Arabidopsis thaliana: one gene and its partners. The protein of the gene in region 1 interacts with the protein of each later gene in a pairwise test. Each region holds a gene or a part of one and is shown in the gene's direction. Other genes may lie near its edges.

Region 1 (8,586 bases):
AGAAATGATGTTCAATTGTTTGTTCTGTGTTTGCTCCATTTATTTGGTTAATTCATTAGTAATCGCATTTGTTCTGTTTATTTCCTCTGTTAATTACTGTTTCTTCAGATGCCACAAACACTGCAATAAAAGATAAGTCCATGTTCACATTTCCCATTTGAATTAAGATTATAAACAATTAAGCTAATGATTGCTGTCTCCATTTTCAAACTTCCTGCTGCCATAAACTGTCCTCGAGTGTCTTCTATTGCAGAAATACAATTATTAAAAATTTCATTTTTGTACTTCTTTTTGCTAACTTTATTCAAAGGGAATATAACTATTGGATGTTAAAAGTCAGAGAAAGATTTTTTTTTAATGAAGTTACAGCTTTTTTTCTCAATGAGAGGAGACAAAGTCCATGTGCTAACTTTGGTTTCTTAAGCTATAATTCTTCATGCTCAGGTTCTAATCCAATTCCATTATTACAGTTTCAATTATTTAAACTATATATTTTAAATTAAATACTTGATGATTAGTAATGTGAAAATAATTATTTCATTGTGGGAAAATATAAAACATTGTACAGTACGAGAATGACAGCAAAGTGAAGCCAAAAACTCAGAAAAATAAAATAAATTAATAAATAAAAAAAGAGAGAATAAAGAAACAAAACAAAAAAAAGTAAAACTTTTCTCTTACGCCATTCGAAGAGAGAGCAAAACCAGAAGAACCGATGATTCTTCTTCTTCTTCTTCTTCTCTCCACAAAAACTCAGTAGAAACATCCAAAACAATGCGTTTATTTTCTTTTTTTTCCTGGAAAAAAACAGAGATTTTGAAGATGTTATTATAGCTTAGAGTTTTCTTCTTAATTTTAGTTTCCAAGTGTAAATCTCCTTCCACTGGTAAGAAAGCTTCTGGATTTCTGTTCTTGCTTAATGATACTTTAATTTCAACCGATCTCGTTTTATTACAAAATCTCTGGTGATTTCTGCTACTTAAATAAATTAGAATTTTTTTCTTCCTTGAAATATGTAATAATTGAGGGTCTGGTTGGTGTTTAGTGGGTCAACAAATCGAGCTGCTTCTTTTGTTATCTTCTGTGTACTTTCAAATGATTTGGTCTCTGATTTATGCTGATCTGTTTATGTAACTTCATCAAGCTTAGCTGTTTTGTTGATCTGTAATGCAAAGTTCATTTTTTTTGTTCCCTTTCCTCTCTCTCTCAGTATATGGTATAATTGAGATTAGATGATATCTAAAAGAATTAGCTTTATCTCATTTTTATTCGGTTTTGTTTCATGAAATTTGCAGATCCGATATGGGTTTCATTGGTGTGTTGCTAAGTTAAGAAAGTTTGTACCTTTTTGTAGTTTAGATAGGTTTGTTTCCAGACATGGAAAATCAAGAGGATTCTTGTGAATGTGAGGAGCTTCCATTGAATCACTTAGGAGATGAGGAAGAGTTTAGAAGTTGTTGTGGTGATGAAGAACTTTGGTTAAAGGGTAGTGATGATATAGCTAAAGTTGTAGAGGAGGAGAAAAAAGATGATCTTGATGATGAGTTCTCTGTTAAGATGGTCTTTAAAGGAGTCTCGATATTCGAAAGAGGAGATTTGGGTTCTGGTTATTCGGGAATTGGTGTTGTGTTGGAGAGGTCAGGAGATTTGGAGTTGATTCAGGTTCAGAAGAAGTTGGATTTTTATGTCGAAGAGTCTGTAGCTAACTATTTAGCTCTTATGGATGGTCTTGAAGTAGCTTTACAGAACAATCTCAGCTCTGTGGTTGCTGTAACCGACTCCGAGTTGCTCTATAATCAGGTAAAGTCTCTCTTCTTTAGCTTGTTGAAGAGACTTGCTTTCATATGGTTTTGTATCTCTTTGTAGGTTTGAGCTCACGTTTTATATGAATTGACTTTGCAGATAACTCGTGAGGAGCAGCTCGAGATCCCTCTTTTAGTAGCTCTGAGAGAAAGGGTATTGGAGAAAACAAGTAACCTTAATGGGTTTGTTCTAAAGCTTGCTCCTTTCTGTGATCTTGATGAAGCTCTAAGCTTGGCTCAAGTAGCGGTAGGAATCGTGTCTTCTAATCTTGATGGGGATAAACCGATCGAGAACTGCTCGATCTGCTGTGAAGACCGTCAGTCTGAGATGATGCTATCATTGAAATGCACTCACAAATTCTGTTCGCACTGCATGAAAACGTACGTTGAAGGGAAAGTAAAGACTTCAGAGGTTCCCATCAGGTGTCCTCAAGTGCAATGCAAGCATTATCTCTCAGCAGCGGAATGCAAATCGTTCCTTCCCGTCACTACTTTCAAATCATTCGAGGAAGCAAATGTGTGTAGTAAAAACAATGGGAAGATTTACTGCCCATATCCCAATTGCTCTTTTCTGTTAGACCCGCAAGAATGTCTATCATCAGGAAGGGCTAGCTCAAGCTCGTCTACTCAGTCAGAGAATAGCTGCTGTGTGGAGTGTCCAGTCTGTGAGAGGTTTGTGTGTGTGGACTGTGGTGTTCCTTGGCATGCTTCTATGAGCTGTGAAGAGTTTCAGATTCTTCCAGTTGATGAAAGATACCCAGATGATATTACATTGCATCGCTTGGCAAGGTATAAGAGGTGGAGGCGGTGTCAGCAATGCCGTATAATGATCGAGCTTGCTCAAGGCTGCAACCACATGACTTGCCGGTAAGACACACATATATATCTATGGCTACACATTGTTTTCCGTATCTATACATATTTGAACCACCAAAGTTAGGTTTTTGACTTCCAATAAAATATAGTTAGTCTTGACCCTTTAACTGCAGAATCACGGTATCGTAATAACCATATGATTCTAAGGTTTTTTTTTTCTCGCCTACGTTTAAATCTAGTATTCTAGAGCAAGTGTTTCTTTTGCGATTCTTACGCATATAAATGTCAAAACTCTCTGTGTTTTCCGCAGATGCGGGCATGAGTTTTGCTACTCGTGTGGAGCAGAGTACAGAGAAGGGCAACAGACTTGCACGTGTGCTTTTTGGGACGATGATGAAGAAGAACAAGAAAACGCAGTAGAGGAAAACACAATTCAAGAAGTTGAGCAATGGCCTTGGGACACATTTAACTCAATTCCAACTGTAATGGACGCGTACTCAGAGCAAGAAAGATCTCAGCTTGCTCTGATCCAAAGGTTCTTAGCAGGTGGAGGGTTTAGTCTCAGTGATCACCATACTACTTATCAGTCACCGCCGCCTCCATGTACAGAGTCATCATATGTTGAAGCCGCAATGAAAGATCTTCATCAGCTTCCTTGGCTTGAGAGGTTTGTGTCTGTTATAAGTGATGATTACTATGAAGAGTATAATAGCCAGTGAAAGTAGTAGAATTGTAATTTAATAGCCTTGAGGATCCGGCTTGGTTTGGTTCAGAGAGGCCAAACGAGAGTATCTCACTCTCGAAAGTAATTGTTGGGAGGGTTTTAGATTCTTGATGAACTCAAACAAACGAATTGTGATGAAACTATTTGCAATTATAAGAAGAAGAGTTTGCTCATCTCCATTCTACAAATCCTGCAAGAAAGATTAACACTCTTTTATATTCAGTGTTATGTTATGATATTTAATCTACCAAAATTTGGTTGAAGAACTAATCAAAATGAACTTGGTTAGCATCATCATATATATACCAACTACCAAGTAAAGAAAAAGTTTGATAAATTCAATTATTCATGCTCTTCAAATAAAATACAGAACCCATTAAAAAGGGTCCACTTATCATCAATCTACTCTTGCATTATCTTGAGTTTTTGTGTAGACATAACATAACCCATTTTATAAGTTATGACCTTATTAGAAAGGGTCCACTTATCATCAATCTACTTAGCATTTTGTGTATATTTCTCAAAGCTGACGTTATTTAAGACGTCATAGACCCACTTCACCACAACTCAAGTCGTCTTCAATTGCTGACGACATTGCTTACGGTTTTTGAATCGTCGTCACAAAATTTAGGAGATTGGATTAGGAATTGGCTCTTTCTTTACTATTCTCCAAAGACTTTACTATTTGGTCAGTCTTCTTATTTCTCACCTTTAGCTTTTAGATAAACCTCTGATTTTTTTCTCCCATCTGTTCTGAGATTGTCTTCTTCTTCTTGAAATCTTTTTCATTTGTGCAATGATTTTGAAGACTACCCATCTATTCAGTTCTTTCTCTTATGATTTAAGTTTCATTTAGTTTTTTTTTCTCATCCGCCATTTTCGTTGACTTTTTGAAGCATTTCTCGAATTGACTTTGTTCTTCACATTGATTCATTAGAATGTTCTTTCATAAAGTTTGGATCTTTTCTTCAGGGCTTGATTAATTTCATATCTATGATCTTCTCTGTATTGTTTTTGATCCAATCACTTCTCAAAATTTGATCCTTGTCATTGGATTTAGATTTAGGGTTTTTGTATCCTTGGGGATTTGAAGATCAAAAACAGAGTCTTTGAGTGATACTTCTGGGGAACAAAATGGCTGCAACTGCAATAGAGCCATCTTCATCTATAAGTTTCACATCTTCTCACTTATCAAACCCTTCTCCTGTTGTTACTACTTATCACTCAGCTGCTAATCTTGAAGAGCTCAGCTCTAACTTGGAGCAGCTTCTCACTAATCCAGATTGCGATTACACTGACGCAGAGATCATCATTGAAGAAGAAGCTAACCCTGTGAGTGTTCATAGATGTGTTTTAGCTGCTAGGAGCAAGTTTTTTCTTGATCTGTTTAAGAAAGATAAAGATAGTAGTGAGAAGAAACCTAAGTATCAAATGAAAGATTTATTACCATATGGAAATGTGGGACGTGAGGCATTTCTGCATTTCTTGAGCTATATCTACACTGGGAGGTTAAAGCCTTTTCCTATCGAGGTTTCAACTTGTGTTGATTCAGTTTGTGCTCATGATTCTTGTAAACCGGCCATTGATTTTGCTGTTGAGTTGATGTATGCTTCATTTGTGTTCCAAATCCCGGATCTTGTTTCGTCATTTCAGGTTTGAGATAAAGTTTCTTTGTGATTTTGCTGGTAAATAATCTGTTCTTGATTGGTCAAGGCTGTAATGTTGTGTGTTGTTGTGTCTGCAGCGGAAGCTTCGTAACTATGTTGAGAAGTCACTAGTAGAGAATGTTCTTCCTATCCTCTTAGTTGCGTTTCATTGTGATTTGACACAGCTTCTTGATCAATGCATTGAGAGAGTGGCGAGATCAGACTTAGACAGATTCTGTATCGAAAAGGAGCTTCCTTTAGAAGTATTGGAAAAAATCAAACAGCTTCGAGTTAAGTCGGTGAACATACCCGAGGTGGAGGATAAATCGATAGAGAGAACAGGGAAAGTACTCAAGGCATTGGATTCAGATGATGTAGAACTCGTGAAGCTTCTTTTGACTGAGTCAGATATAACTCTAGACCAAGCCAATGGTCTACATTATGCAGTGGCATACAGTGATCCGAAAGTTGTGACACAGGTTCTTGATCTAGATATGGCTGATGTTAATTTCAGAAATTCCAGGGGGTATACGGTTCTTCATATTGCTGCTATGCGTAGAGAGCCAACAATTATCATACCACTTATTCAAAAAGGAGCTAATGCTTCAGATTTCACGTTTGATGGACGCAGTGCGGTAAATATATGTAGGAGACTCACTAGGCCGAAAGATTATCATACCAAAACCTCAAGGAAAGAACCTAGTAAATACCGCTTATGCATCGATATCTTGGAAAGGGAAATTAGAAGGAATCCATTGGTTAGTGGGGATACACCCACTTGTTCCCATTCGATGCCCGAGGATCTCCAAATGAGGTTGTTATACTTAGAAAAGCGAGGTATTGACCTAGTCGATATATATATTTCTCATAGCTTAAGGTTGATGTCTCTTTATTGAATTCTTGTATGTGTCATTGCAGTGGGACTTGCTCAGTTGTTCTTCCCAGCAGAAGCCAATGTGGCTATGGACGTTGCTAATGTTGAAGGGACAAGCGAGTGCACAGGTCTTCTAACTCCACCTCCATCAAATGATACAACTGAAAACTTGGGTAAAGTCGATTTAAATGAAACGCCTTATGTGCAAACGAAAAGAATGCTTACACGTATGAAAGCCCTCATGAAAACAGGTAAAAGCTTAAGGAAATGTACTTTCAAGTTTTATTCTCTGACCACAAGATTGACTGATTCGAAACCGTTCAACAACGCAGTTGAGACAGGTCGGAGATACTTCCCATCTTGTTATGAGGTTCTGGATAAGTACATGGATCAGTATATGGACGAAGAAATCCCTGATATGTCGTATCCCGAGAAAGGCACTGTGAAAGAGAGAAGACAGAAGAGGATGAGATATAACGAGCTGAAGAACGACGTTAAAAAAGCATATAGCAAAGACAAAGTCGCGCGGTCTTGTCTTTCTTCTTCATCACCAGCTTCTTCTCTTAGAGAAGCCTTAGAGAATCCAACATGATCTTGTCCCAGATAAGTAATGCTACTAGAGATAGTTCCTTGGAAGAAATTAGCTATTTTATAGGTTTTGGTTTAGAAAACAGTGGAGATCCCATTTTGGTATTCAGGTTTATTACATGGTTTAGGTTTGATTTTGTATTAAAGGAGATGGATTTTTGAAATGTATAAAGCAAAACCTTTCCTTTTTGCTTTGCTTCTTTCTTTAGTCAGAAAATTGTAATATATGGAAGTGAAATCGAAGCAACGATTGAGCAGAACGAGAAGCACAAGAAAAATGTTAAGCTAGTTAAAAGATTTTCAAGCTTCTTGCAAGAGAATTACTAAACAGGCACTTTCTCAGGGGAAAGATCCTCGTGTTGAATTAATCTCAATACCAAAATCTAAGCCTGCTTCTGATAGCAAAACAGGAACTAGAGAATAGAGATAGTTCCTTTGAAAAGATTGAAGATCCCATTTTGGCTTTAGGTTCAATTTGTATTACAAGGGATTTTGATTTTTAAAATGTGTAAAGGAAAAATATGATGCTCTGAATCCAAATCATTTAGAACATATTGCTTGCTTATTTGGTCAGAAAATTCTACTACTTGGATTTATGTCTTCAATTGTTACAAAAATATTTGCTTTCCTTTAGACCTGAACTGAAGCAGTCAATTACATAACACAAGCTAACTATTACTAAAGAGTATATGAATCACATGAGAGATCTTTCAGTAACCTGTAACAGACTCTGGACAAATCATCAGTACTGTCTCCTTCGAATGTTATGCGTGTCCATCTGTTTGTTTACAGGACAGATGTTGCAGGACAGATGTTGTAGGACGGCTAAGGAGGAATATTCCAACAAACAATTTGCAGATCTTCTCAGTACTATCTAAAGAATATTTCCAATGAATTCACGCAACATTTTAGATCTGCATCAAATCTGTAACTCAGCACATACTTCATTTGCTCTTTCACAAGCATCGGCTAACACTAATGGATCTCTCTGTTCCGGAATTCTCCAAACTCTTCCTTTTGATTCATTAGGTGGCATTGATATCAAAAACCCTTCACTGTCTCAGTTGTACTAAATTCAAGAAATAGTGCCAATAACCTTAACTTCAGGTAGATGATTGGTTTATACTTTCCCAAATGGCTGGACCTTCAGGGTGGACATTGACAAAATACTTCACAAACCGGGCATCACCGCAAGTGAGAATAGTGCTTGGTGACAGCATTGGCTTTGCTGCATCTCTTTCCCTCAACCATAAATACATTGAGAATCTGTGATGTATCCTCTGCATATCATAACACAGATATGCCGGGAACCTTACCAATGATTCAATTGGATAGCCAAGAAGTTCGGTTAAGGAATGTATCTTTTTCTCTATGACATCTTTAGACAGGTTAAGTATCATCGGAGCATGCCTGATGATCTCAGTAACCACATTATAGTTTAAACCGGCTTTCACAAGGCAATCAAATCTCTCCTGTAGCTGATCTCCCCTCCCTCGAAACTGTTTTAGAGCCTTCACCATCTCATCCGAGTTTTCTACATACCCTAGCCTCAACAAAAACTCTGTCTTCTCTAAGTATTTCCTCGAGTCTTCCGAAAGAGGTTTGCTTTTTCTCTTCTTCGTTGTAGAAACAAAACAAAACAATCTCAAAGGCTCTTTCTTTAAGATCTTACATAGCTCGTCTTGTTTAACATTCAAACTAAGACAAGCAGTTCTAGGTGCTGGCAGAGAGCATGAACCAATAAGCTCCATATGACTCAGCAAAATCTTCGTGATAAACTGCGTTTCCATTCTAATAGCAATCAAGAAATCCAACGTCTTCTGAATATTTTTCACGCATTTGTCTGACAACATCTCTGGATTGTCTATAAATAGCCTATAAATCTCATTCACTTGAAGCCCCGCTTTAAACAACCTACCAAACAGAACATAGAATTTCTTTCCGGAGCCTTCGATTACCAAAGCTGGATACGTTTTCAAAAGACTACTCAACTTCTCCTCTTTACATCCCACTTTATCAAGAAACTCTATTGTCTCCAGAATTCTGCGCCAGCTATATGTTTTCCGGTCAGACAAGTACCGCCCAAGCCAATCACATCCTACTTGTAACCCTTTCAACTTATCAACTACAGAAGAA
Region 2 (6,495 bases), on another chromosome or scaffold:
AAATGATAAAGAAACAGTAAGAGAAAGGCCAAGTATAGAGTGTGAATGCCAACAATTTCACATTAAACAAAACAGCCAACACATTAGTGTTTTCTTCATGGCATCTTGTCATTGACCAGCTCTATGTGTAAAGATTTCTGTAAACTAATCCAAGTATATAATATTTCCTTTGAATGATTCAAGTTAGGTAGTGGGATAAAGCCAACCTGTACTGAAGTCCTGACTCATCAACATCATCGAAATCAAAAGGGCATGAACAATCAGGGTCATCCAAGTCGTCTTGGGAAGATAATCTACTGGGGCTCCTAGAAAACGCGAATCTTGGTGAGTCACTCGAAGACAGAACTCCTGAGAAGCGGCCTGAATCGTATTTGCTGTCCTTTGACAGCTGAAGAGTAGATATAAATAAATCAACAAAATATCAGATGAGGCAATACAAAATATAGTGATATTTTTCTTGCATTGAGCAAGACACATAAGATGTAAGAAGCATAACCTTTTGAGTAGGGTACTGGTTCATTAATCCAGAAGGAGACTCTCCGCTTCTAGAACTCCTGTACAACGCAATCCCAGGCAAAGAGTCCTGCGATGAAGGGGAGCGTCTTGTGCTTTTGGGGGAAAAAGGAGGAAGTGGATTCCTACCTGGCTCAGAGAAGTTAGATGAAACGTATCTATTTAACGTGGCTGAAGAAGGAATGGTCACTGGAGCAGTCCCTGGTCTCACATTAATGCGCGGACTGTTACCCCCAGATATGTATCTTGGAGTAGATGGAGAACCCGATGGTGAAAAGGGAGGTGAAAGCTGGTGATTGTCACCAAAAGCATCTGTACGTGACCAGTGGAAATCGTGTAACCCAGGTGACAACTGATGAGACTGAGCTGGCGAAAAAGATTGGTTCGGTGTTGCGAATTGAGCTGGAGGTCTGTGAAAGCCGCTAGTCCAGCTATGCGGACGTTCTGCAGATGAACCAGTCAATGGAGGCCGACCAGCTCTACCAGTAAAGGAATGGCCTTCAACACTTCTCCCTGGAGAAGGGAAAAACCTCATAGGATCTGTTGCAGGACTTCCCACATAATCAGTTATAATCCTCGGAGGCAATGTGATATGAGCACCGAGATTAAAATCAGATAAGTCAGAACGGTAAGTAACCGATGCACAAAGACGACCAGGAGGCACTTCAACAGGAGCAAAACGAAACTCTTTCATTGTTTCCGTCACAGGACCAGAGAATATGTCACTGAAAGATGAAACCTTGTAAATCAAATCATAACCAGAAGAAGCAAGAGAAGAACTCAGCTGCCTAGAGACACGATAAGCAGGAAGAAGCCGAGTCTGTGCATAAAGAGACCGCAACAGAATGATAGATTTCTTGTAAACCTTCTGGTAACGCGTTGCAGAGTCAGAACTCTGAGGAGACATAATCAAAGGATTCTCATATTGAACAACCCAACGCTCAATCACAGTCTCAGCTGATCTAACAACAGAATCACTATGATCATCATCATCATCCAAATTATCGTTTGAAATCGGATGGACAAGAATGATATCAATAATCATAGAATCCAGAATATTCCTATGCCAAGAATGCAATTTCTCCAACGCAGCAGGACGATCTCCCATCACAAGATTAAACCATTTGTCACTTTTTCTAACGTTAAGACCTGATAAACGCTCACGAGTACGACCACGAGATTGCAACGAAGGGATTCTGGAATTAAGAACTATGTGTAATGCTTTTGGGAAGAAATGAGAAACAATCTGCTCTAATCTTCCTATATCTGAAGGCAAATTCTCTGGAAAATCCATCTTCTTCACACAAATCCCTAAATCGAAACAATTCTAAAAATATCTCACACAAATCCCTAAGAAATATCCAAATCCGAAACTGATCTATGAGAACGGAGATCACGAATCGTTGTTTTGGGAGAAGGATCTAGAAATACAAAGCTTAAGATGATTAAGGTGATTAAGAGATGAAGAAAGTGTAGAGAGATAAATTACAGATAGTTAGGGTTACCGTGAGGAAGAGAGTTTGATAATAGAAGCTTTTATGTGAAGATCTGAGACGTCAACGATGGCGTGAGTGTGTTTTACACGCAGATGACGATGATGATGATCAACATAAACAAAAAGAGTTTCAGAGGTAGAAGAAACACACACGATCACGATTTGAGAACACTGTGAAATTACTAATTAAATTAATATTGAATTCAACCAATGATAAATAGCCACGTCTTTGTTCTCTTTTGTTTTTCTCGTTTTACCCTTATCTTGTTGCCTCAATTACAGGAGACAATAGGTCTCGTTAATCTTAATGTACTATACTGTGAAATTACTAATTAATATTCGACTCTTGTGAATGCAGCCAATGAAGAATAGCCACGTCCTTGTTATCCTTTGTTGAATTTTTGTTTTCTTCTGGTTTTACAGGAGACAAGACAATAGGCTCTTAATGTATACAGTGAACCTGAATCTCACGCGCTTTTTTGGTAGAGAAGGTGAAGCAAATGCGCCAAGTCGGATGTTTAAGTATATGGGCTTACTGTTTAAGCATTAGGCCCAACATTTCTAGATAATTGGAACACTTTTTTTTTTTTTTTGTAAACCAGATAATATGTATTTGCAATCATCACTATGGAATGAGTTCAAAACCATTGGTTTTTTGAAGTTATGGACTACGTAGCTAACATTTTAAAACCTACAGATTTTTATTTTATTTTAAATGTTATATGTTATATTGTATCATTACAAGAGAAAGCGATTCTTACAATGTAGTTTAGTCTTCTAACAACTGTTATTATTACTGTTGTGAAAAATATGTATTCAAACTAACATACTGCATGTTATCAACAAATGTATAAGTTGTAAATGTCTATTATATATTCTCTATGTTCCTAAAAGAATGATGTTTTGGGTTTTTCACCCAAATTAAGAAAATTAACTTTTATGTTATTTATATTATTTTTTTGTTAATTTAATAATATAATTTCTACTTCTTTCCTCTCTCTATTAGTCATTAATAAAAATAATAATAATATTAACCTAAGAAATCAATTTTTATGGAACAAAAAAAAATCTAAAACATCAAATTTCATGGAACAGGAGAAATATATTTTTGGTGATAGTACACTAATTTTCTATTTTATAGTGGTTGTAGATGTATGATGTCGTGAAATATCCCATAATAGTTCTTCAATCATAATATAAGTAACGCAATATTAAGCGGCAGCGTTTTCCCAAATTATTAACTTGTTAGTTAATAATCTAAAGAATAAATCCTTGTCACAAACTCACAATATCACAAGAAAGTGAGAAACACTATAGTGATTGGCTTCAGACGTCACCTATTTCAAGCCCTACTAACTCAATAATGTAATCAATATATACCACATACATACATCAGAGATCAGACCAACACATTTTTATTACAAATTTGACGGACCAGAGATTTATAAATAATTAAATTGAATTTGTGTAAACCACGGCATTAGAATTATTAATTACTATTCTATTTACACGTTAACATATATTTATCCATTTATCAATTTATAGTTGTATAGACGGCAATTTGTTTATTAATTTTAAAGTTAAAACTAGTTAATAACATGGATAAACCGGAAATTTCGAAATTAATTTGGTTTAAGTTTCATATAAAAAATATTTAAATCGAACCTAGCGAAACTGTGATAAAAAAACGAAAAAAAAAAATTGAACATTCGAAAAAAATAGTAAATTTTCTCTTTTGGGGTGGTCTATGCATACATAAGCCATGAGTATGTTTAAGTTTCAAGTAAGGAGAAAATATTGACCGAAATCAAAAGTGAGGAGAAATAAAAATCAAGAAGCAGATACATTGAACCTGGACATGCAAAAGCTACACAAAGCGCCTATTAAAGAAACATAATCAAACCCTAACACTCAACAAATCAAGAAACAAAGTTAGAACCACAATCAAATCCTTTTACACAAAGAATCTTAATGGCGAACCGAGGAGGATGCGTGACGGTGGCGGCGGAAGAGATGGATGAGCTAAGGAGGAGGAACATAGAGCTCTCGAGAGAAGTGGCGGAGATGAAGACAGAAATGATTAAGTTGTGGCAGCGAACGGTTGTGGCGGAGGAGGCGGAAGAGCAACTCTGCTCGCAGCTGGCGGAGCTGGAGGTCGAGTCTTTAGAACAGGCACGTGACTATCACGATCGCATGCTCTTCCTCATGGATCAAATCTCTCGTCTCTCTTCTTCTTCTGTCGTCTCTTCCTCGTAGAATAAGATATTTCTCATAAGTTATGTATAGTTGTGTATGTGACAATCACTATACATGTATATAGATCGATGGTAATATGTTATGTTTTCAACATAAATTAAATGTTTGAATCCATTTCTAGTGAATAAATTAGAATTTCTGATAATCATACAAATTGTTGAACTCCATTTCTAATGAATTAGTATTTCTGGTACTAGTTGCATATTTTGTCTTGACTTTTAATTACAAAAGTTCTTATGGAAGCAAATAATATTTTGGAATGATACCATGTTTAAGTAATGAAGTAATAATATATGAGTGAGATCTAATGTCAATCTTAACTATCAAAATAATTTTATGGAACTAGTAGGTATTGGAGACTCGAAGGGGATCGAAGAACTTTGAAGTTTAAATTCCATGAAATCCTACATTACCATAATTTTCAAAGGAATCGTAGAAGAGTTAATTGAAACTTGAGTGTAGAAAAAAATAAAGGGTTTTTGGGTACATGAGTTTCATGGAAATTTTCCACAACTTCAGGATTTTTTTTTTGTGGTCAATGGAAACCGTAGGAGAGAATGGTTCAATGATTTTTCTATGGAACCATAACAATAGTCTTTAGGGGACGTGAAACATGAAATTGTGTAAGTTTTCCATTGGTTCAAGGGTCATTTTCTGTTTCTATTTCATTTAATTATATATTTATTTTGTTAATATAAAAAAAAATCATTTAAAATAGTATGAAGATATGTGGTGCTGGCAAATTAAGAGGAATATTGACATTCGATTTTGACGTGATTTTGTTTGTTTTGCTGTTAATTAACTGTTTTGATCATAATAAATTTGAGATAGTATCCGTTGACGATGAGAATATGCCATGCGTAGATTTAAAATTATTACCATTTCTTATTTAATCAACAACGGTACCGGAGTAAACCATGCCTGCCAAAAATGAATTGAAACTTCAATTGTTTCAAGAAAGATGTGTGTGTGTGTGTTTTTTTCATTCTAAACAAAGTTGAACCAAATTAGAATAAATTAAACCGAAGTGAGCCAGTATGTAATTTTGGAAGACTAAACCGGACAAGAAAGCAGATACATTGAACCTGGACAGTATAGGAACTCAATCAAATTGTATGGTCTAAAATGTGATCATCCCACGCTCCGAATTTGTTCATGTCGCAGCTTTTTTTGGCATTTTGTAATAATTGGGCAAACGATTATTCATGATTTTTTTTTCTTCTTTGGCTTTTTTCTTATGCTACTTTATCCCTGATTTTGATATCTCTTGAAAAGAAGGATCTACCATTATTGGAATCATTTGTCTACGATATCGACTATCGAATTTGACTGTTTACAAAGCTATAATTCTTTTGATATCGGGTGACCAAACTGTAATTAATTAACTATAGTTCCATGAACAATTTAGGAAATAGAGATAGCTTAGACTTTGGCCTAGATTAATGGGTTTAATGACTAATATTGGTGGATTCAAGAATAATGAATTAGTAGGAATAATCGTTACGTGTTTCATTGGTGCGACGGCCATTGACTTGGGATAAGTAGAAGTGGTCCACTGGAGGCACGAAGAAATGGGATATGACAATTACATCGACGTGATTGGTGACGTCACCCATATGTATCTCCACGACGTTCACCGATTCCTAATATTCAACTAATTCGCATAATACTAATTAACGTCTTAATATGATTTTCTAATTTTTTGTGTATCTAATAATTATGGTGATGATGATAAAAGAAATTTGACATCTTAATAAGCTATTAAGGAATATAACTATAAGATTTTTGCCTAATCACTATGAGCAAATTATATGAAAATTTTGATAGAATATGAGATTTTCTCTTAAATGTGTCAAATTTGGGATATAGGATACATATCTACAATAGGCCAGATATACTTATACTATCATGCATGGATATGTATGTACTGATGTTGCATTTTCTAGATTAATGTAATAAAACAGCCCCCAAAAAACATTTTAAACCTATTAGGTTACTAGTATATATATCTAATTAATATTCGTCATCATTAGTGTGGTATATCTTTGTGTATTTGATTTTGTATAAATAATTATCTACTTTTGTGTGTTTACATATTAGTATAATACTAGTTCATATCTAAATTATATATTTTCTGATAACGATACCTAATTTATATTTTAATCTAAATGTTTTTTTTTTTAATGTTAAATATTGCTTGAAGATAATTCTAGATGCAGATATTCAAAAGG
Region 3 (6,913 bases), on another chromosome or scaffold:
GGATACTCCGTTCCTGTGGCTCCGTACAACGCTTTCTATCTCGATCAGGACCATTCAAGTGGCGCGATCATGTTGATGCTTCATCTCGACGGTCGAGTTCGTTGGAAAGTCGGATCCTTCATCACCGGAAAATATCATCTCCACGTTAGATGTCATGCGCTTATCAACTTCGGGAGTAGTGCTGCCGGAGTTATCGTCGGAAAGTACATGCTCACCGAAACTTGTAGTGTTAGTGTTTGACAAATTAAGAGGTACTTAACGGTGACGGTGGTATCGGTCACGGATTTTTTCATTATTAATAACGTAATATATTTTATATATAATCTCGTAGTAGTTAAGTTTTATAACTTTTTTTTTCCTACGTCATAGAGAAATAATATCAAGAATTGCAATCGGTTGCGTTATTGTTATGACGAGCTGTAAAAGATTCAAAGGAAACACTAAAATATAGTAAAAGACAAAAAAAAAGGTTTATTTTTATTTCAGTTGGTAACAATTTATGATGGATGATTCAATTAAAAACTGTTTTCTATATAATGATAATAATGTATATTCTCTTGTTTCATTGACTATGATTTTGTGCTGATCCAGAGTGACGACAATTGAATTTTAGAAATATCTGATCGGAACGGTAACCATTTGTACGGTGTCATTATCTATAGTATCTTGTCTTTTTTTCTTTTTCTAAAACAGAATCAAGACCCATTCTCATATAGTTTTTCAATTTCCCATTAAAGTTTAGATCTTAAAGTTGGCTCTTTACAACAGTTCAGTACATTCAAAGGAAAAACTCTTGATCAAATCTATATTCCTAATATATTGGTTAGTTTGTCTCCTAAATATTCTTGGATCTTGAAATGATAAAAAGTAGAATCATGTTGCTTATTTTACAAGAAATAGGGTATTTTTCTCCAACGTTCGAATCCCACGAATATTCTATATTATGTATTTTTTGGGTTAATAATGAAGTCATCTTATAACCAACTGCTTCGACTAATTTTGCCTCTTTTGTTAAGAGATTTGTAGGCGTAATTCTCAATCTGGAATCCACTTTCTCCAAGAGAGAAAACTTGCGAAATGATTCATTACATGTGCTATTGTTATTATATTCGATATGTATATGTATTTCAGAAAGAAGTCCAATGTGAGAACATTCAAAATGTACATAAGAGCGAGGTCCAATTTGAGCATAACGTACGCAATTTGTTCGTTAGATTCGTCACCAACAAATATTTGATGTGTTTGTGAACGATTTTTTATGCAATTTTTTAATCTTAGTCCCATTTATCTACTAACTCCCACGTGTTTTGTTTCCTTTGTACATATACACGCTGCCGAATCCAGTTTGTATATAAACATAATTTTAATTGAAAATCTTCGAAACATTGTACTGAAAATTTGCCATACGTAATCTAGGTAATTGATCAGCATGATGAGAAACTTTACGCCCATCAATCCATGAATATACAATCCTAGTTTGGAACCGAAGTTATACTGTAAAAAAGCAGATGATAAAAACACACAATTGTCTACATAACCTTCCCTTTTTGCCTTTTTGAAGTCATACATTTTATTAAGCGTGTAAATGATCAAGACTTGAATATATACATAAAGATTCGATTTTGTTCATCTAGAGAAATTCATAACCAAAACATAGAATAAACATTCATAACCAAAGGATAACGTAAGTAAAATGAATCATGGAGTTGTATCATTGGTCCACTGGTTAACACGATACAGTTTCGACTTTCGAGTCGTATTGTATTCCAGATTTTAACAATGATTAACAACACAAAATTATGGTGACAACCACCAAATTAGAATTAGTAATAGATTACATGAAAAGTATACCCTATATGTTACTTCCTTAGATATATGTCCATTTAAACTTTAGTGGACATCTATTCAACGCAATTTCTCAATAATTTATTCGGATGAATATCGGAATTGAGTAGATAGGGATCGGTCGTCGGTTCCTCCATTTTCAAAACCCTAAGAACAACCAAAGTCTTCATCATTTATTTGTCCAATTCCAATGATCTATTTCGTCCAAACGGCTAAGATTGAAGGAGTCTTCGTGAAATATTTGTTGTCTAATTTAGTTTAATGTTTTATCACCACACACATTGACACCGCATTAAACTCTAACAAGTTTTTCAAACACGTTTGTTCATCACCAGGTTTTTCTTTAAAATTATTGTGTATTACTTATCATATACAATGAAAATTATTGTTATACCGTATAACACATAAAAATTTCTTAAACTACATTGACTACTTTAATAAATAAATAAAACACATTACATCTCATATTATAAGAATACTTTTTTTAGTTGTTACATTTGTTTTTATAAATCCTCCATAGTTGTTTTAAAGTTTAATATGATTGAGTTGCGATCTAGTATTATTATTCTTTATTAAATATGCTTGACCTTTCTCATTGAAGAAAGATGTAAACATTTGAAAGCATGGCTTCACCTAATCTTCCTTTCAATTACAGGTCACATCATCCAACTCTAAACACCAACCTCCCTTAGTTTTCCTTGCTTTTAGCATTATAACATTAACAAGTCTTTGCAATGTTTAATTTTCTTTGAATTTGAGAAATCTTTCACATTAAACATTTTCATTAATTGATAATTAATTAAATAACCTTTATCAGTAGAACTGTTCTCATAGTTATAAAATAAACATTTGGAAAACCCCACCTCAGTTTCAACTTGCAACCTATAGATCAAAGTTATTTCATTTCATCATGTTATATATATAATGTCGAAATTCTTGACCGGGACTGGTTTGTCTTTTTCTAACTTTGTATAGGCTTATTGATATTTTGGCCACATTTTCTATTTTTGTTCTCAAAAGTCTTTCGTCAAGTTTAAGAAACAATGGCTATATTAGAGCAGTCGCTTTTGGGGAAGTTTCTCGGAAGCTTAGTTACATTGTAAAAATGACTATTCACAATTCACAAACTAACTACCGCACTAAGTATCATCACATTCTCACATGTCTTATATAATAAAAGAATATATAAATAAATATCTACATATGGATATTCTTGTATGCGATCGGCACTAACCTCATTAATCACCAAATCATGTATATATGGATTCAAGAAATAATCTCATTAAGCTTAACCAAAGTATACATAGTCAAATTGAAGAAGAAACCATATAGTAAAATTTAAGAAACAATCTTTAATGTATATCAAACTGTTAATCCTAAATATCTAATAACAATCTCGCAAGTAACCTCTACTTAAATCAAATTTTCATCGAACAATATTAAACCGACGCGTCACCTTTGACTTTGAAAAAACAAAACCGCGTCAAATTAAATCGTTTTATCTAATACACGTTATCTCTACAGTGTATATATATTACGGCCTCTTCTTCTTCACTTCAAATCATATTTACTTTTTCAAAATCTTATCACAAACCAAAAAAAACTTTCTTTCAAAATCGTTCTCTGAGGCATTTTAACGAACAGATGGCGGACTTAAACGGTGCGTATTACGGACCATCGATTCCACCGCCGAAGAAAGTCTCTCACAGCCACGGCAGACGCGGCGGTGGATGCGGTTGTTTAGGTGACTGTCTTGGCTGCTGCGGCTGCTGTATCTTAAGCGTCATCTTCAACATCCTCATAACCATAGCCGTCTTATTAGGCATAGCTGCTCTAATCATCTGGCTCATTTTCAGACCCAACGCTATCAAATTCCACGTCACCGACGCTAAACTCACCGAATTCACACTCGACCCAACCAACAACCTCCGATACAATCTCGATCTCAATTTCACAATCCGTAACCCTAACCGCCGGATCGGTGTTTACTATGATGAAATCGAAGTCAGAGGATACTACGGTGATCAGCGATTCGGTATGAGTAACAACATCTCGAAGTTTTACCAGGGACATAAGAACACGACGGTGGTTGGAACTAAACTCGTGGGACAGCAATTGGTGCTGCTTGACGGCGGAGAGAGGAAGGATTTGAACGAGGATGTGAATTCTCAGATCTATAGGATCGATGCCAAGCTGAGACTTAAGATTAGGTTTAAGTTTGGGTTGATCAAGTCGTGGAGGTTCAAGCCCAAGATCAAGTGCGATCTCAAGGTTCCTCTTACCTCTAATTCAACCAGCGGGTTTGTTTTTCAGCCGACCAAGTGTGACGTTGACTTTTGATTGCTAGTCAAGAGTCAATGCTATTATAGTCTTCTTCGAGTTCATCATATTACACTTGTTTATTGATTCTTATTTTAGATTGTTTTGCTTTATTATCTTCCATACATATCGTTGGAGAGAGATATTTTTCTTATGTAATGTTTTATTGTATGGTTCCATGTAAATAAATAATCACATTTTGTTTAATGCTAATAACTATACAATTAGCATTATGATTGTCTCATGAAGCATTGATCCAAGTATCAAAAATGCGGAATCTTCTGCTTTCCCACTGATCCATTTTGTGTTTGTAGAATGAGAACAAGCAACATTGTACCCATGGAGGATTTCTTGGCACTTTCTCCATCTCTTCACCTCCCAACAATCTATTCAGCTTCTTGACTAGAGCCTCTTCATCAGATTCGTCACACCCGAAAAACTTTTCCTGTAAAAAGATATACAGATATAAGTATTAGACAATCCTTCAATGAACACTAATAATTAATCGTGTTTTACTTACCCCTTCATCAGCATATAGAGAAGCATGGATTCTGGCGGTTGCATCTTCTAGTATAGCTACCAATTTGATATTTCCGTTGATATCACGGAGTTTTCTGACGTCTCGGGGATACACTTGTATGAACCGAACAACACACCTGAATTTAGCAGTCACCTGCATAATAAGCATCAGTAAAACATCAATTCAAGAAAGTTTTCACTATACTCTTTTCCTACAACTTATGATAAATCCAAGGTTTTTGGATACATTACATTGTGATAGGTCAGGATGTCCATCAGAGAAACAAATGGAGCATCGTCATGGGCAACCCCTAGAAAAGATTAAACCATAAGTATTATATTAAACGTTATGTCAAATTTCCACAATTCCAAACAATTAGCTGGTTATTACCTGTGATTTCAGAATGTGAACGACTAATGCAACGCGCGATTGGGTTCCATCTCGGTGAAAACTTCTCCCCACACATTCTGAAATGGTAAGAAAGTGTGTTTTAAACTGAAGAACAAACGGACGAAGCAGAACATCAACTCACAGGATAAGAAAAGGTGTCAGCAGAAACCTTTGAGGACTAAAGGCTTCCATCTCTCTGCTCATTGTGTACTGCATCTTTGTAGAGGGAGTAAAAGTGGCGTTCCATAATCCCATATTTACTTGAAAGAAAAGGTTCAGAAGCTTCACGTGTTGACCAGGTTGAAGACAGTGAATGGCCTGCTTCTCACTAACTCTATCTACTATGATCCTCAAAACGGAACCAAAAGTAGGAAACTTACGTAACATGTATGTAGGCAACATCTCGGGTTCTACACATAAAGGAAGCCTTTCTGACCTATTATGATTGCAAACAAAAACAGAGTGAGATGAGTAACACGTTTGGGATATATGACCAAAATCTAGTAAATGAATATAAGACGCATAAGAGAAACTTATTTTTACTCGTTGTATTTTGGTTGAGGAAATTCAGACTTACTTAACCAAGATGTTGCAGGGTGGCATCTCAGTTCCATCCCAAACAAAGAGGTACCATCTATCTTTATAGACCTTGGAAATGTGAACAATCTTCAAAGGAAACAAACAATGAGAAACAATGTCAAAGACATAGCAGACCATAAAAGACACTTACAGTTCCATAAATACAAATGAACATGAAAAGTAAAACCAAAACATATTCTTTTAAGGAATGATCAATCTACCTGGCAAGATAGGTTTGAACATTCGCCTTCTTTGATATCTTTCAGGGATGTGAAACAGCATGACCCTATCATAAAACAAAACAAAACAAAACCTCACAACAATCGCAACTTACCACCAAGACATAGAACACATTAGAGATAAAGTACGAAGCAAACATTTGCATATAGAGATTTCAGTGAATAAGTAGAATTCATTAGAAATGATATTGCATCATAATTACCATCTTCAAACTTGTACGTGATCATCCATTCTCTCAGATTCGATAAGAAGTTCTTATCCTGTTCTCTCATCAGGAATTTAGGTGAGGACTGGTAAGGTATAGAATCCACGCTATGTTTCCCATTGAATAAAGCAAAAGACGAAGAGGTTGTTTCATTGCAGAGAGCTGTGATTTTCCGGTTAATCAGCACAATCTGAGTTTAAACCCAGAAGAAAACTGTTTAACAACAAAATCAGCAAAAGCCACGAAGAATTGATCTTCTCATATCAGAGGAATAGTGTGTCAACCTTTACACGTGAAAGTAAGATGATATCTCCGATCGATTCAACACGAGGAAGGTCTCGAATGGTACGAGCGACGAACTTAACGGGAAGGCCAGATCCCGAATACCATGGATCAACGATTTTGAGCGTACATGAACAATCTGCGACAAATTTCGAGCAGTCGGAAGTATGAAAAAACGAAGCTATGATGAAATGAAATAGCAAAAAAGGATTTTGGGAGAGGATCACGATACCAGAGCCATTGGAGAATCCTAGCTCAACGATGACTCCAATGAGGTTAACATGAAGATGCAATGCTTTGAAAGCGTCTTGAATTCTCAGGAATTTGTAGTCATCTCTTCTCTCCTCCTCCATGTCTCTGATCGTTGGGGTTTTGCAAGGGTTTGAAGGAAATCGACAACGGCGATGGATGCGATGACTCGGCCGGTGCCACTCCGGTGAATCTTGCTGAGTCGTTTAGGAGCTCTCGTAACTCAAATGGGTCTTAAAGGCCCAATAATAATGATTAATGGGCCGCCGCTACCAAGTTGCTCA
Region 4 (8,345 bases), on another chromosome or scaffold:
CCTTTAAGATAGTTACATGGTTCTATATTAGAGTAACAACAAAGTCCTATCATGTTCCTCAACCAATAGAAAATTTAGTTATGTTTGAATATATGATAGACATACTTGGGAGTTTTCATGTAATTATGCCATCTGTGTGCTCCATTTGGACGAAGGTGATCTTGAACCCGAGCAACTGATTTGCCGTTACCATAAGTCAAAAAGTAATTTGGATTATTTCGTGTTGCTTCTTTGTACATTCCAAAATATGTATCTTTTGGAAGATGATCATAATTCTTCTTGAACATTGACACCTGCTTGCACCACACATATCTCAGAAGTAATACTAACATAACAAACAAATATTAATAAACCTACTCTCTTACGTAAAGACAGTAATAAACTGAATTATACCTCTGTAAAAGGATCCTTGATATCATCTCTTTCTACGCTGCTTTCCTAAACAACAAAATCCAAAAGCATTATTCATAGCAAAGGCCAGATCATAAAAGAAACTTTAGACTCACAAAACTAGCTGAAAATAAGCAATGCAAGAAGTGTGAATGAGATATCACTCACGTAATTTGGAAATATAACCATATCCACATTTGGAGGAACATCAAGCAGCAACCGTCTTAGTGAGTACTCACGAGCACCTGCTGGGTATATCAGCTCATCAGTGTCAAGATGAAGTATCCAATCCATGCCCGCATCCTGATATTTAGTAAGAACAAGAAAAATGAGAATGTAACATGAGACATGAGTCAAAACTGAACCAAATAAGGTCTAAAAGAAATACTTACCCTAGCCATGACAATAGCCATTTCCATGTTGAGAGATTGTTTGACAAATAACTCATAATTGCAGGGCTTATAAAAGAAAGACGAAAGCCAGGTCTCATTCCAAATCCGGCTGATGAAACAAAACAAAAAAGAATGACAGTAAAATGATCAGTAGTAGAAAATACAACAAAACAATGCTACAATTTCAGAATATACAACAAAACATGTGTTTAGTGCCTTGAAGAGCTATAGCTTTGTCGCAAATATGCAATGGGATAACTAACTAACCTCTTCGCTTGCTTCTCCTCAAGCTCTTTCGTCCTGTATATTACTTTAACACCCTGCAAGAGACATGGGACTACATTTATCGAAAACTGCATACCTTAAATACAAATTTATACCTACAGGACTAAAGAGCTAGAGATATACAGCCAAAACAAAATAAACAGTGGACGCGAAGAGAGGTAGTTCAACTCACAGGAATAGACTCGAGCACTTTAGAAATACTCGGAGTAGCAGCTTTCCCTTCAACGAAAAGGAAGAATGTTGAGACGCCTAGAACCTTATGGTAGAACATCCATGGTAGAATCTGATCCAATCCAGCTGATGTGCTAGTCGTGATACATATCTGTAAACAGTAACAATGTCAAGAATCATATACAACATGGAGCACAAAAAGTGAGGTGACTTTACAAAGACAGATCTGATCAAAAAATGAACTTTGGTATTTCTCAAATCTCTATAATCCAATAAAAAAAGAACAACTTGATATTTCAGATTAGACATTGTAGTAAGATTTAAGAAAAAAAAAAGGAATTTGGAAGTGTAGATCGATCCAAAGACTTGAAATCAGGGGAATTGAAAGTAGTAACCTTAGGCTTTAAGCTAGTATCAACACCAAACTTCCAATCAGCATAGTAAGGAAAAGAAGGAGAAGAGCTGCGAGCTAGATTTGAGCAGTCGGAGGAGGATTGGTGAGACTTTGGGGAGACAGATGAAACAGTCTCCATGCCGGGAAAGACCTCGTGATTGAGATCGGAGCCGCCAGGAACCGACGTAGAGGAACGAACAGAAGCAGAGGCAGGATCGGCGAGACCACCGCCTCGCCATTGGAGGATAAAGGCGAGACAAGCAAGGGAAACTGGAAGTAGAGTAAGGAGAAGGAGGAGCCTAGAGACGAATGAATGGTTTTGGGAAGAAGATGAAGATGAGGAAGAAGCAGATATTAGTGGAGCTCTGTGATGGTGAGTCGATTTCATGGTTAGCTCCACCACTTTGAAAAACAAAAAAAAGTTTCGGAGGAAGAAGACGAAGAAGAAGAAGAAAGACGCGATTCTGAGATCTTTCTTTTTATTTTATTTTCGTGTTTTGGTCGTCTGAGATCTCATCGGTAAAATTAAACTTTACTAACTAAATCTAATTGATTATCAATTCATCTCATTTTATTATGTATAAAAATTGGGAGATTTTCTTCCATTTTTTTTCTTAATCTTTCTCAACTGGATTTGAATTGATAGATTGGAAACATGTACCAACACAAAGAACAGAAGCAATTACACAGGGAGAAACAAATCTCCACACACTAAGCCACTATAAGCTAATAACAACAATAACCTATACAAAACAACAGAGCCATATAACAAAAAAAAAACCAATTCAACCAGGGGAAATGACTCTTTCATCACAGAAAACTGAATGGAACCAAGACGGATGACTTGATGCAACATACAATTGCAACCTGCAATCATCAGTGATACTCTATGACATAATATTCCTTCTTCTTTTGGATCAGATTAATTAAGTTTTGTTTCTAATTATTAAGTCATGACACTTCTTCCATTCTTAATTATTAAGTTTTTTTTTTCTTGTATCAAATCTTTAATTATTAAGTTTTTTAAAAAAAATTATTAAAAGTCATGACACTTCTTCCATTCTTAATTATTAAGTTTTTTTCTTGGATCAAATCTTAATTATTAAGTCATTTATTGTTGTTTCACCTAAGGTACCTTCATTTAAAAGCACCAATTAAAATATTTCACGTGTCGTCTCATTAGAAATTCGGATGCTTAGAGCCCAGTAAGGACCGATATGGGCCGGACCTGGTTATAAATGTAAGACTCTAATTGGATCGCTGTTCGTCATTACTTACCCATATATATTTGTTATTCTTCTTTTCTCAATTTTCTTTCTCTTTCCATCACCTTTCTCGTTCACTTGCTTCAGATCTGGCAGCGATTTCATTTCTTCTCCAGTCTTTCTCTCGTCTCGGTTCTATCTCCTGGCCATTGGCGGTCAGGACTTCTCAGCCGTATATTTGATTCCGTCCCCGGATTTACTCTTGCTGTGATCTGAGGTCAAACATGGCGGCTGCCAACGCCCCCATCACGATGAAGGAGGTCCTGACGGTGAGTTCTCCTTACTCTTCACTCTTATCTTTGAATATTTAGATGTGTATCTCCTGGAATCGACCGTGATTTTCTACGATTAAGCTCTGTTCAGTCTCTTGATTGATTGATTCCAGTTTCCTACTGATCTGAATTCTGCTCGATCGTTGTGTTACTCTCTAGTTTTTCCGGATCGCTTGTTTGGGAATGCATGTTTCTGATCAGATTTCTCTAACTATGCTCAGATCTGTGTTTCGTTAATATATCAATGCCGAATTTCAAGTTGTTGTCTGTAGCAATGTGCTTATGTACTCGGATCTCATAACTAAATAAATGAACTATTTGACGTAACGCTTCATCTTGATTTTTCCAGCTTCCGAGCATCGGGATCAATCAGCAATTCATCACGTTTACAAATGTTACTATGGAGTCTGACAAGTATATCTGTGTACGAGAGACGTCACCGCAAAACAGTGTTGTAATTATAGATATGAATATGCCGATGCAGCCTCTTAGGAGGCCTATTACTGCAGACTCTGCTCTTATGAACCCAAACTCGAAGATCCTTGCCTTGAAAGGTACTTGATTTTTTCCTTTGATCTAAAACCCATAACGGTTTCCTCGAATTCGTAGTTCATAATCCACTTATCTTGATGTTCACTTTTTACTTCAATATTTATGTAGCTCAAGTTCCAGGAACTACTCAGGATCATCTACAGATATTTAACATTGAAGCCAAAGCAAAGTTGAAATCACATCAGATGCCTGAGCAGGTGAGTGTTGATGCAAATATATTTGAACTCCATTATCGTTCCTGCTATACACTTCGTATAACTCTGAATTTTTCAGTCGGGTTTTTTTTTGGATAATAATGTTTCATGTTTTTACAGGTTGTCTTTTGGAAGTGGATTACACCAAAGATGTTGGGGCTGGTCACACAGAATTCCGTCTATCATTGGTCAATTGAAGGTTGTATATTTCAGCCTACTGTCATTTTCTTCATATCTTGTGTTTTCGTTTCTAATTTTCCTTCGGGTTTTATAGGTGATTCTGAGCCAGTTAAGATGTTTGATAGAACAGCCAATTTGGCCAACAATCAAATTATAAACTATAAGTGCTCTCCTAATGAGAAGTGGTTGGTTTTAATTGGAATTGCTCCTGGCTCTCCTGAGGTAAGTTTACTGCGCCACATATTAGGTCAAAAAAAGACATCAAAACTGCTTTCATGTTGTAGATTCTTGACTGATCTTGTCATTATTATCTGTTTTCTGTAGAGACAACAATTGGTAAAAGGAAATATGCAGCTTTTCTCTGTGGATCAACAGCGGAGTCAGGCCCTTGAGGCACATGCTGCATCGTTTGCGCAGTTTAAGGTAACGTCTTTGTTCTTTGGTGAGTTCATCTATGGTCTAATCTTGAACTGTAGTTTGACTTGCAACACTATTAATATTAGGTTCCTGGGAATGAGAATCCTTCTATTCTTATATCATTTGCAAGCAAGAGCTTTAATGCTGGGCAGATAACATCAAAGTTGCATGTCATTGAGCTTGGTGCCCAACCTGGTTAGCTCCCCGACGCAAAACTATATCTTCACTGTTATTTAATATAATTGGTTACGTTTTCTAGGTTGTATTCATCTGATCTTTAAAGGTTGGCGATTTTTTTGCAGGAAAACCATCATTTACAAAAAAACAAGCAGATCTCTTTTTTCCCCCTGATTTTGCTGATGATTTTCCTGTTGCCATGCAGGTTTGCTATTGCATTAGAATTTCAGTTATATGTGTAAGTAGTTAGTGACAATTTCTGGCACTAATTTCTCATTTTCCTGACAGGTCTCTCACAAATTTAACTTGATATATGTTATCACCAAACTTGGCCTGTTGTTTGTGTACGATCTAGAGACTGCTTCTGCTATCTACAGAAATCGGATTAGTCCAGACCCAATTTTCTTGACTTCTGAAGCTTCCTCAGTTGGGGGTTTCTATGCCATTAATAGGCGAGGACAAGTTCTTTTGGCTACAGTAAACGAGGCTACCATTATACCTTTTATTAGTGGCCAAGTATGCTAATCTTTTATGCTATTTTCCCGTTATAACCTACCCTTTTCATCATGTCATGCTAAGAAATCTATGCTTTTGTATCACAGTTGAACAATTTGGAGCTTGCTGTCAATCTTGCTAAAAGAGGAAACCTCCCAGGTGCAGAAAATCTGGTATGCGATGTTTATCATGGATCTGTTGTCTCGGTGAAGTAATTATATAGTTGTTAAATGGCAGCTTGAAGAAAAAAAATGTCATTTGGTATTGTGAAGTTTCTCATATTCTGCTCGGATGTTGTAGGTTGTCCAGCGGTTCCAGGAGTTGTTCGCTCAAACAAAGTACAAGGAGGCTGCTGAGCTTGCTGCTGAATCTCCTCAAGGAATTCTAAGGACACCTGATACAGTGGCCAAATTCCAGGTGTCTATTTCATATCCAAGCAACTATGTGTAAACATGTTTATTTATGATGAAATGTTGGTAACACCAATTTTTCAACTCTATAATTTTGCAGAGTGTTCCTGTACAAGCTGGACAAACTCCTCCATTGTTACAGTATTTTGGGACTCTTTTGACTAGAGGGAAACTCAATTCATATGAGTCACTGGAACTATCTCGGCTGGTTGTGAACCAAAACAAGAAGAACCTCCTGGAAAACTGGTTGGCAGAGGATAAACTAGAATGCAGTGAAGAACTTGGAGACCTTGTGAAGGTAATCTTGAAATGGACGATTTTATTCAAAATGTGTGATATGTCTCCTATGGTGTGTTGTGACGATAAACCTTTCTGTTCCAGACTGTGGATAATGATCTCGCTCTGAAAATATACATCAAAGCTCGGGCGACTCCAAAAGTTGTAGCAGCTTTTGCAGAAAGAAGGGAGTTTGACAAAATACTGATTTACTCAAAGCAGGTAAGCAATAAGATCTATAGTATAACCTCTTCTATTATTTTTACCCTAAAGTTCTGTTGTCTCATGAATTACCATTGTTTCATATTGTGACTTCAGGTTGGGTACACACCTGATTACCTGTTTCTTCTGCAAACCATACTCCGTACAGATCCTCAGGTTAGTGTGGTGCACTCTTGATACTTGCAACATACTAAACTATGAAAGGACTTTACTGAATATATGTGGCGTAAGCACTGGAAGAGTTATGAATCAACTAACTTGTTGAATAATTTGACCTGATGTTATATAGAATGAAGAATCTTTTTCCCACCGTATTAATATCAATAGTCTTTTAATTTTTATTTGCAGGGAGCAGTAAATTTTGCATTAATGATGTCTCAAATGGAAGGAGGTTCTCCAGTTGACTACAACACCATCACTGATCTTTTTCTTCAGGTAGGTCAATATATTCTGTATGCACCAATATTTGTAGCTCATTACTTGTTCTACTCCTATATACAGAATTGTATACAGTAGATGTAAATTATCATGTGCTTATTTGTCTATTTGTGCATATTCAGAGAAATCTGATCCGTGAAGCGACTTCTTTCCTTCTGGATGTGCTAAAGCCAAATTTACCTGAGCATGCTTTTCTGCAAACTAAGGTTGAAAATAGTTGCCACCTTGTATCTCTCCGTTTTTTTCTCTACTCACCTTCTTTCCCCAGACTGTTTAAATCATTTTTCAACACAGGTTCTGGAGATAAATTTGGTAACTTTTCCTAATGTGGCTGATGCGGTATTAGCAAATGGGATGTTCACCCACTATGACCGGCCTCGCATTGCTCAACTTTGTGAAAAGGCTGGACTTTATATCCAATCCTTGAAGGTTGGTACATGTTTTTTACCATTTTTACCGGCCAAATAGATTTATCATCTTCTCACCTTCCAACTTCTTTTCCTTTTGATTTGTGCAGCATTACTCAGAGTTACCTGATATAAAACGTGTAATTGTAAACACACATGCTATCGAGCCACAGGTAGTGCCTCTGAAATATATTTTGGTTGTTAAACCTACTAAGTGGTCAAGTTGTTGCATAACACTCTGCTCCATATGCAGGCTCTTGTTGAGTTTTTTGGCACTCTTTCTAGCGAGTGGGCTATGGAGTGCATGAAGGATCTGTTGCTGGTCAACCTGAGAGGCAATCTGCAGATAATTGTTCAGGCAAGTGGTGTATGATATGATGAATCTTATTGGTTATTTTGACACTAACGGTGTCCATACAATTTCAGGCTTGCAAGGAGTACTGTGAGCAACTTGGTGTTGATGCATGTATTAAGCTCTTTGAGCAGTTCAAGTCATATGAAGGGCTATACTTTTTCCTAGGTTCATATTTGAGTATGAGGTGATATAGATAAAATCTGATCTCGTTTCTGTAAACAAGCACGATTCTTGTATTTATATGCTTATGTTTACAATGTTTCTCTCTGTGCGATAGTGAGGATCCTGAGATCCATTTCAAGTACATTGAAGCAGCTGCCAAGACTGGTCAAATAAAGGAGGTTGAGCGTGTAACTAGAGAGTCTAACTTCTATGATGCTGAAAAGACGAAGAACTTTTTGATGGAAGCTAAGCTGCCTGATGCACGACCTTTGATAAATGTCTGTGATCGTTTCAGCTTTGTGCCTGATCTTACTCATTACCTCTACACAAACAACATGCTTCGTTACATTGAAGGCTACGTGCAGAAGGTATAAGGTTTCCTGGGACTACTTTTAATGCGTTGGAGTTCAGTTTTTTTTTATGAAATATTTATACGTTTGATTCTGTCAAAGGTGAACCCTGGGAATGCTCCCTTAGTTGTCGGGCAGTTGCTTGATGATGAATGCCCTGAAGATTTTATAAAAGGCCTCATTCTCTCTGTTCGTTCATTGCTTCCTGTTGAACCACTTGTCGAGGAATGTGAGAAGAGGTGAATCCTTTTGGTCATCCTGGTTTGCGTTCATAATTATGTCTGTTTAGTTCTGGAAACTCTAATATGTTTCTGCTTTTTCAGAAATCGACTCCGTCTCCTCACTCAGTTCTTGGAGCATTTAGTTAGTGAGGGAAGCCAAGATGTGCATGTCCATAATGCCTTGGGTAAAATTATCATAGACAGTAACAACAACCCTGAGCATTTCCTGACCACCAACCCTTACTACGACTCTAAGGTTGTGGGTAAGTACTGCGAGAAACGTGATCCTACCCTAGCAGTTGTGGCATACAGAAGAGGAC

The links.
Region 2: the proteins of NPR4 (region 1) and LSU1 interact in binary tests that used the Arabidopsis thaliana proteins (3 or more experiments, as listed by UniProt).
Region 3: the proteins of NPR4 (region 1) and NHL3 interact in binary tests that used the Arabidopsis thaliana proteins (3 or more experiments, as listed by UniProt).
Region 4: the proteins of NPR4 (region 1) and AT3G08530 interact in binary tests that used the Arabidopsis thaliana proteins (3 or more experiments, as listed by UniProt).

Annotation. Positions count from the first base shown.
Region 1 is NC_003075.7:10,694,134-10,702,719, reverse strand, and holds NPR4 (NPR1-like protein 4), read left to right. Parts: upstream 1-3,927; 5' UTR 3,928-4,476; coding exon 4,477-4,995; intron 4,996-5,086; coding exon 5,087-5,825; intron 5,826-5,906; coding exon 5,907-6,454; downstream 6,455-8,586. Other genes in the region: AT4G19670 (RING/U-box superfamily protein), read left to right, coding at 1,378-1,800, 1,903-2,669, 2,929-3,337; AT4G19650 (Mitochondrial transcription termination factor family protein), read right to left, coding at 7,554-8,586. UniProt on the Arabidopsis thaliana protein: Salicylic acid (SA)-binding substrate-specific adapter of an E3 ubiquitin-protein ligase complex (CUL3-RBX1-BTB) which mediates the ubiquitination and subsequent proteasomal degradation of NPR1 in the absence of SA.
Region 2 is NC_003074.8:18,373,204-18,379,698, reverse strand, and holds LSU1 (response to low sulfur 1), read left to right. Parts: upstream 1-3,758; 5' UTR 3,759-3,979; coding exon 3,980-4,264; 3' UTR 4,265-4,466; downstream 4,467-6,495. Other genes in the region: ATG13 (Autophagy-related protein 13), read right to left, coding at 207-374, 438-1,807.
Region 3 is NC_003076.8:1,928,288-1,935,200, reverse strand, and holds NHL3 (NDR1/HIN1-like 3), read left to right. Parts: upstream 1-3,432; 5' UTR 3,433-3,489; coding exon 3,490-4,185; 3' UTR 4,186-4,405; downstream 4,406-6,913. Other genes in the region: AT5G06330 (Late embryogenesis abundant (LEA) hydroxyproline-rich glycoprotein family), read left to right, coding at 1-240; AtPOT1b (Nucleic acid-binding, OB-fold-like protein), read right to left, coding at 4,406-4,609, 4,685-4,837, 4,936-4,994, 5,075-5,151, 5,244-5,510, 5,652-5,740, 5,875-5,939, 6,096-6,288 and 2 more. UniProt on the Arabidopsis thaliana protein: Confers resistance to Pseudomonas syringae pv. tomato DC3000 (Pst DC3000).
Region 4 is NC_003074.8:2,590,188-2,598,532, reverse strand, and holds the start of AT3G08530 (Clathrin, heavy chain), read left to right. Parts: upstream 1-2,878; 5' UTR 2,879-3,121; coding exon 3,122-3,166; intron 3,167-3,518; coding exon 3,519-3,723; intron 3,724-3,829; coding exon 3,830-3,918; intron 3,919-4,035; coding exon 4,036-4,114; intron 4,115-4,189; coding exon 4,190-4,317; intron 4,318-4,419; coding exon 4,420-4,518; intron 4,519-4,598; coding exon 4,599-4,707; intron 4,708-4,814; coding exon 4,815-4,894; intron 4,895-4,977; coding exon 4,978-5,205; intron 5,206-5,291; coding exon 5,292-5,357; intron 5,358-5,484; coding exon 5,485-5,601; intron 5,602-5,694; coding exon 5,695-5,892; intron 5,893-5,975; coding exon 5,976-6,092; intron 6,093-6,188; coding exon 6,189-6,248; intron 6,249-6,440; coding exon 6,441-6,527; intron 6,528-6,652; coding exon 6,653-6,736; intron 6,737-6,824; coding exon 6,825-6,959; intron 6,960-7,047; coding exon 7,048-7,110; intron 7,111-7,190; coding exon 7,191-7,295; intron 7,296-7,363; and 7 more. Other genes in the region: KOB1 (elongation defective 1 protein / ELD1 protein), read right to left, coding at 106-293, 394-438, 559-693, 783-891, 1,050-1,102, 1,240-1,389, 1,634-2,020.